2 linked regions of the Saccharomyces cerevisiae S288C genome follow. Changing the gene in region 2 together with the main gene of any one other region gives a genetic interaction. Each region holds a gene or a part of one and is shown on either strand. Other genes may lie near its edges.

The links.
Region 1: of SKN1 (region 2) and PAM16, a mutation in one rescues a mutant of the other (synthetic rescue), as found in Saccharomyces cerevisiae (one study listed by BioGRID).

The regions. Positions count from the first base shown.
Region 1 is NC_001142.9:225,277-228,383, reverse strand, and holds PAM16 (import motor complex subunit PAM16), read right to left. Parts: upstream 1,058-3,107; coding exon 608-1,057; downstream 1-607. Other genes in the region: SET4 (Set4p), read right to left, coding at 1,647-3,107. UniProt on the Saccharomyces cerevisiae protein: Essential component of the PAM complex, a complex required for the translocation of transit peptide-containing proteins from the inner membrane into the mitochondrial matrix in an ATP-dependent manner.
Region 2 is NC_001139.9:773,408-778,134, reverse strand, and holds SKN1 (beta-glucan synthesis-associated protein SKN1), read right to left. Parts: upstream 2,943-4,727; coding exon 627-2,942; downstream 1-626. Other genes in the region: BTN2 (Btn2p), read right to left, coding at 4,449-4,727. UniProt on the Saccharomyces cerevisiae protein: Required for synthesis of the major beta-glucans of the yeast cell wall.

The sequences.
Region 1 (3,107 bases), on a different chromosome or scaffold from region 2:
AGTGTGAGTGATGAGGAGCTTGCTCTTTTAAGCTCATATTACGTAATAAGTTAATACTGGAGCGAGAATAATTTAAATCATTTCATCATAACCCATAGCTGAATGAACTTTGACTACTCCTAAACAAAGTAGTAACAATTTTCATTTCGTTTCCGGTTTCTTAGATCGAATATTATTCTGAGGAAATTCCCTGATTACATATCAGGGAAAGGTTCGCGTTTTTAGAGAATTGCGTAATGCGATTTGAAAGTTTAAATTCCTAAGCGACTCTTCTTCATGATAAGACAGTTTATATTTTGTATACTTTCTCATTCCCATAATTTGTAGTGCCTACGGGGATGGACTTGTCTTGGTACCAACTGACGGTACGTTCTGATGCTGCCTTGCTTGTGCTCCAACATTTTTTTTTTAATTTCATTTTCGTGTACGGTGCGTATATCGAGATGGCATCTGAGTATATTTACTTTGGTACATATACTAATATTAACTAAATACAAGGATGGTGGTTGAAGATTCCTAACGTACAGGAAGCAACCAACTAGGAAAATATATGCACTGCTGCATGCTTTCGATAACACTTGTGACGTAATGATGGAGGCTTCCTTGACTACTGATTGCTGCTTGCACTATTATCTGCACCAGATGAATTTGTTGAATTCGGAGGAGGTTTCGCTGTTGAAGCGTCCCCTGCTTTCGCCTTCGCATTTTTTTCTCTCTGAGCCAGTTCCCATTTTAACCTTTCTGCTGCTCGATAAACTTTGCTCTGTAAGTAGAAGCTTCCACCTTTTTCTTTATCGTTAACCTCAAATAGATAGTTAAACCTGTTATTAATCTTGTCCATGTTTAAATCGCCCTTGGATTCTTCAATATTTAAAATTTTACAACTCTCATCCAACGTAATACCACCATATTCGCCTTTTCCTGTTCCCCTTCTAGATGCATTTGTAGCACCTTGTTTCACTGATTGTGAAGCCGCTTGTCTATACGCCTCGGCGAATGCTTTTCCAAAAACTTGAGTTCCTGTGATTATAACCTGTATGAAAGCCCTGTGAGCCATATTTTATATCCAACAAGTCTATGTTTTTCTTATGCTCAAGTCACGAAGCTGTTGCCAAATTTATAGTCAGCTGAAATATGTGAATCGGATGCAAATGAGTTATAAGTTGAAGCTTCAAAATTTGCTACGTGAAAAATGATAAACGATGATGAAGTAAATAAATATCGTAAAACGAAAAACTCTCTTTTAAAAAATTCATATGTAGGAATTTCATTTGATAAGAACCTCACTCTTCATATCAAATAAGTCATTAACCTGCCATGAAATGAATTATGGAAACAATGCAGCTTTTTGAAAGGAAAAGTGCGGTGGATTTTAACGTTAAGGATCCTCTCAACTAATGATTGATGCTTAATCGTGGCATCTATAAATAAAGCATGAATTGTTCTCTATAGTTACAAAGTGGTGATTTATTATAAAAGTGTTTTGATATTCACGCTTTCAACATTAAAGCTAAAAACAAAAGAAAAAAAATGAAGACCAATGCGAAAAAAAATACCAAGATTGAAGTTTTGGAAGAAAAATTATGATGATAAAATTAAGCTTTCAAAAAAGATTAAAATGAATACTATTAATTTTAAAATTTCGTTTATGGCTTACAGTTGTGCATTATTGTATTAAAGTAAGATTTATTAGATAGGGATTCCTTCGTATTCCTCATGAATTCTTCAGAAAAGTTTTTGATTTTAGTTATTGGACAATTATGGCCCAAGTACCCACATGCACAATCACAATTTGTTAAAATAGTCTTTATTGACCCCATCAACCAGAACTTGTCGGGATCCGGTAGGGAATCCAAATCTTTAGATGCATTTATTATCTCCCAAATAGGATTTCTCAAATCCCATTGCCATTCTACGCTTATCTCTTCTCCCTTACGAATATCTCTTATAGCCCTTAAAACAAATTTAACTCTACAATCATTATCTCCTCTTGGTTTTTCGTCAAGCGGTCTTACCGTTACTAGTTCCACATTGGGCTCACAACTCCGTCTTATGTATCTTGTTAATCCGCCTGTTTCTCGAGAGTCTATATATAAAGGCCAATGTGGATGAAAAAGTACTTTAGGTTTTGTCGTTCCCATCAAACGATAGTCATTATTTGGATCTGTCTGATAATTTTTTTGAAAATCAATTTTGCCCAAATATTCTTGAATTAGCTCACCTTTAACACAAGAATCTGCAGCGAAGACTCCAAAATCTCTTTCATTTGATGATTTTCTTACCTCGATGTCAGCTGACCTTGAGCTTTCCCAGTTAGAACAAACAACCCAATCGTCATCATAATGGTTATCAATAAACATCTTAACATATTTGTCCTTATACTCTGATATTGTTATTGCTTTGAATTCCGTGTCATTGGAAGAACTTACCTCATTCAGTAGTGGCTTCAGAAAGTGGCTTGATACTACCAGTTTTTCTTGCCTCAATTTTTTCCGTATACTATTGCTATTTTCAGTTGTTGGGGCGGTATAATGAAGTTGACGTTTCTTGGGCTGTTCCTCTATGTTATTCACAGACTGTTGATGCTGATTTGTGTTCGATGCTGAAGTTGTCACTATGGATGAAAATTGAAATAATCGCTCATCTCCCATTTTTCTAGGGAATATCATTGGTTTTACTTGATTAACCTGCACTTTCGTATCACTGTCACATCTTTTGCAAACAAAATCTCTTTTTATTGGATCTGATTTTTTGAAAGCATAACATAACTTGTGCTGCCACGTTTTACATTTGTTACACTGTATAAACAACTCATCCTTGGAGTCACTTGAACCGCAGATGCAACCATTTTTAGGTTTGTTATCTTCTGCTCTCATGGAGGGTGTAATTTTATTTTCTTTCGATGATTCATTGTGTGTTACCGAGACCTTGGAATTATCATCTTGATTCTGTTTTTTCAGTGGAAATGGTATGGTGGCAGCAGTTGCCAATGCTACTGCTGCTGCTATTCCTCTTTTATTTGTTGATGCCGTTTTTGATGAGCCTGATGAAGAATGATGGTTGAAAATGCCCCTGTCATTTTGAAATAAATGTAAAGGCGTTGGGCC
Region 2 (4,727 bases):
GGAAAGAAGCTATAAAAAGTAATTTCATCGCTGTTTTTCATCTCTACGTCTTAATTTCATTTTCAAATTTGAAGCTTCAACCTTGCTGCGAAAAATCAATAACGGAACAAAAGGTAAAAAAGTAAACAGGACGGTATACTCTTAGCAGTAAACATACATCAAAAACACCGCTTGTAACCACACTATCCTTCCAATTTTGAAATAGCGCAAGTTAACCATTAACGAATAATAATATGATTTAACATAAAATATTGATTAATATAAAAGATTAAAACATATAGAAGATATTTATGTTCTGACAACACGAAAGCTTCTGAGGGCTCCTGTCTTGGTGTTTCTCTGGTAAATAGTGTAACATAACTGTTACAAAAAAAAACTTCAAAAACTCTCCACCTTGTCGACAAATTGCTATCAGATACCAACAGAAATTTTTCGCTAACTTGAATCCGTACTCTAATTTAAAAACTCCAGTGATGATATTATTACAAAGGAAGACCATTTACATGGCTGCTTCCGTACCCAAATCTAGAACTTTCAACGACTGTGACCGCAGACTATTTTGCCTCCTTAGAATTAAAGCGCACTTAGATAGTAGGTTTTAACCAGTTGAAAAAAAAAAATCAACCTCAGGATAATGAGAATTTTGAACTACTACAACCTCCTGTTAGAATATTTTTTGGGAAAGTATATCCAGCCTGTTCCCAATCAGTTAAATTGGCGTTATAATATGCATTTAGATGGCTTTGGATATAATCATATGTCGGGTAGTCCTCAGGATCACAAGTAATGGACGTAGAACCCTTCGGCTGGTATAATCGGACGTAATCTATTGACATTGTCACCGGGAAAAATATATATTGCCAGTCGATATAGGCCCAGTTGTTGGAAATACCTAAGTTTAAAATCGCTGACATTGGCTCCTTACTTATTCTCCTCCAGTCAATATTACCACTAGGATGTAAAGAAGTAGCATATAGTGTGAAAGTAGGGTTCTCTCCCACAAACCAACGAATATATCCGTTGTCGTCATCATTGAGATATTCAATGGCATACTTTTGAAAATAACCTGCTTCCTCCCCAAATTCATACCATGTTACATTTAAAGTGGATATTGCTGAGACAGCTTGTTGAAAAGGCCCACCAGCGTAAGTATTCATAGTTGTTGTGGTGAAATTATAAACTTCGATGAAGTCATAATCGGGCATGTACCATATATCAAATGGAGCAATTTGTAGAGATTGTGACGCAACACCAACACCCAAAATTGTATCAGCTTCACCTTCTAAAATATCTATTTCCGGTGCGCCTCTTCCAACTCCCTGATTTGGATGATCCTCATTATCACAAGTACAAACACTCAACTTTTGTCCCGGCAAGTAAGAAATACCATCTGGGGAACTTTGGTTTGGTGTTATACCAGCGTCACATGCTTCATATGAATAAGGCCAAACACCTTGAGTACTCGCCAAATAACCTGGTCTGCCCAAGTTCCCCATGGTCCACATACCAGGCCATAATCCTGTAACTCGACCATAATTAGGGAGGTTCGCGGAAACTTCTAACGCACCTTCTGTAAAGCAGAGTTTGTTCCAGCTCTGTACCATACCAGATCTGTAATAAAGGTCATGGTTTCTGAATGCATCCATTCTCAACGTCAAGGTACCATTTGTAGTTGTAACGGCATCTGGTGAGTACCATTCAAGATCTTTCGTAGCGTCGTAGTGGATGTCAGGAGCTGTCCAAAACTGGTCATCGCCATCGTAAAAGGTCCTACCTTCAGCATTAAATTCATCGGAAAACACCAGCTGCCATTTAGATCCATCTTTCGCTACTCTTGTCTTCGCACTGTCAGGTGTGTCTGGATCAACTAAAGTTGTCCTTATAGCCGCAAGTTGAGGATATTGATATTCAGTCAATGACTTGGATGTAGTATTAGAAGACGACGATCCTGCTGAATTTGCCGCATGAACATGTTCATGATGATAAACTACCCCGGAAAATGTAATTGCAGGTAATACAATGAAAATAAATATACCAGCCATAAATAAAAATAGAATACCCAGAAGCCCCAAGAAAGATCTTCTATCCATGTGTTTGAAGTCGTCAACGAACCTCCTTCTATCTAACTTTGCTTCTTCCTCGACATTTGGATTATGAATGTAGTCATCGTCTTCCTTTTCGTCCAACGTTAACGGAAAGAAGGAAGCTGGATAACCGCCAAAGGGCGAAAAATCCTGTTCGCCCATGTATAAGTTGGTGGATGATAATGAAGAGTCGTGAGCAGAAGAAGATGAGCCAGTCATATTCGCTCTTTTCTTTTCATTTATAAGGTTCTGCGACTGAGATTGAGCCGCTGAAATATGCCTCGTTCCTACTAGCGGATATCTGTCAAAAGGTGGTGGAGACTTAATTAAGCTGTTGTTAGAAAAGCTACTCATATTATTTGAAGAAGGATGAGACGGTAAGTTTCTGTCCGGCGGCTGTAAATGTGATGCAAAACTATTATCGTTACTACTGCTTATAATGTTCTTATAATTATTGTTATTATGATTGTTTAAGTTATTAGCAGAAGTTAGGTTAGTCTTAGCATAATAGCCCTTATAGTCTGACATTCTTTGACCATTTCTCTCGGGTGAGTTCTTTTCATTAGCCAGAAGAGAAGTATCGCTGTTAGGATCGTTATTATAATTTATGGATGAAGAACTGGAATATTCATTTGCCCCACGCCGCTCATCGTCTCCACTGGGTGAATTATAATCTTCGTCAAATTCTTCACTTCCAAGGAAAGGATTACCGCTCACCCTAACGTTCTGACCATCTGCAGGTTCTAATGATGAGCTTTGTCTTGATTGCTCATTCGAGGAATAAAAGGAGTTTTCGCTTCCGGAAACACTATTTTCGCTGTTGGAATGACGATTATTGGTGAGGTTTCGCACAGACATATTCTGCTATTGTTTATGTAACACTAGCTAGTAATGGTTATAATATACTGTGTGCAATAGGCTTAGATCTGCTGTGTTTTTCTTATTATTTACCGTTTCTTTATTTCCTATTCCTTGCGTAACCGCTAACGATTGTAATAATTTTATCAAACCTGTAAAAGTTTCTACCAGCTGCGTAGAATCAAATGGAATATGGGTTGTTTTTTCGAGCGACTGAAAATACGAAGAGGCACTTTGTAGTCGGAGTAAATCGATAGTTGTAGTAGAATATACTGGTTTAATATTCTTCTTCTCTTTCTCTTTTAGCTTTTTTTTAGCAATGCGAATTTTTTCTCCTTAGAAGGTAGGTCTCCCTATTTTGGTCAGTTTTAAACGGTTCGCAGAGCGATATCGTTTGAATGCAGCAATGTAGTAGGCAAAAAAAAAGGGACAAGAATATACAGTGCCGAAACGTCTATGTACAGTGATGGCAGTTGGAGGAAGGCCTATGTGAAAGAAAACTATATGCTGTTATGCTCGGGAATATATAGTAATCTGCGCAGAGATACATGTTCGGCACAGGCTCACCTGGGCCTACTAATTACGCATCGATGTTGACCAATTTTCCGCTTTGGGCACGCATTCATTTGTTTTCCTTTTTAAAACAACTCAGATCGTATTTGTCTCAGCACCCACACCTTGCACCAGGGTCCGTTTACCCATTTGAGGAATATGTTTCTAAAAAAAAAGAGCCGTAATATTCCAGTATACCTCATTAAAAGTAAAAAAATTTGGACGAGTCCGGAATCGAACCGGAGACCTCTCCCATGCTAAGGGAGCGCGCTACCGACTACGCCACACGCCCAATTAATTGATGAAAGGGGAGAATAGAGAAGAATAATGAAGTAAATCTAATGAAATATCAAAAAGCCATTCTCAACGTAACATTTACTCAATTATCTTCAGGGCAGGAAGGGGAGAAGAAAAAAAAAGCTCTTTTACTTGATTACTGTTTCCGTTAATTTGAACTTAATTTTTCTAAAGATGGAATTGAGATATTGGTGAATTTTGAGATAATTGTTGGGATTCCATTGTTAATAACAGTAGTAATATTAGGTATATAGAATATACTAGAAGTTCTCCTCGAGGGTATAGGAATCCTCAAAATAGAATCGATAAACGATAGTTGAATTCTATTCAAGCAGAAATGAATTTCAATCATTCGATAAAGTAGCTTGTATTTTGTGAATCACTTGCCATTCCACCATAAAATACTAGCATAAATGTTAACATGGAAAACCGGATTTCTAGGAAGCAAATAATTGTACTAAAATCACGGATACTAATAATTTCTACTTTACTGTTGCCCTTTTATTTTGTTATATTGTAACAAAATAAATCCGCCTTCTGCCGTGCCGATTTATATTCCTTTCATAAAGTCAGTGAATTATAGTAGTATATAAGATGCATATAATTAGTTATTTAATGCCGTAAAAATGAAAGATGGGGAGTATGTATTATCACCCATTATATCTCCTCAATAATAGAGTTTCCCTTGGGAGATCTGCTTAGGGACTCGTTGTATCTGTCAACTTCCTCATCCTCAACGTCTTCTAATAGGGGTGAAGCGTGTTTTTTTAGTGTATTACCAGACACAGAGAAATCCAAAGTCGTATCAGAATCACTGTTTATACTTTCATTATCACTTTCTGCTGAACCAGAATTGCTATTATTATTTTTATTGCTGGCCTCAATCTCAGAGATAGGCAATGATTTGGAATTTTGCAATTTTTTTTGCTGGGACCT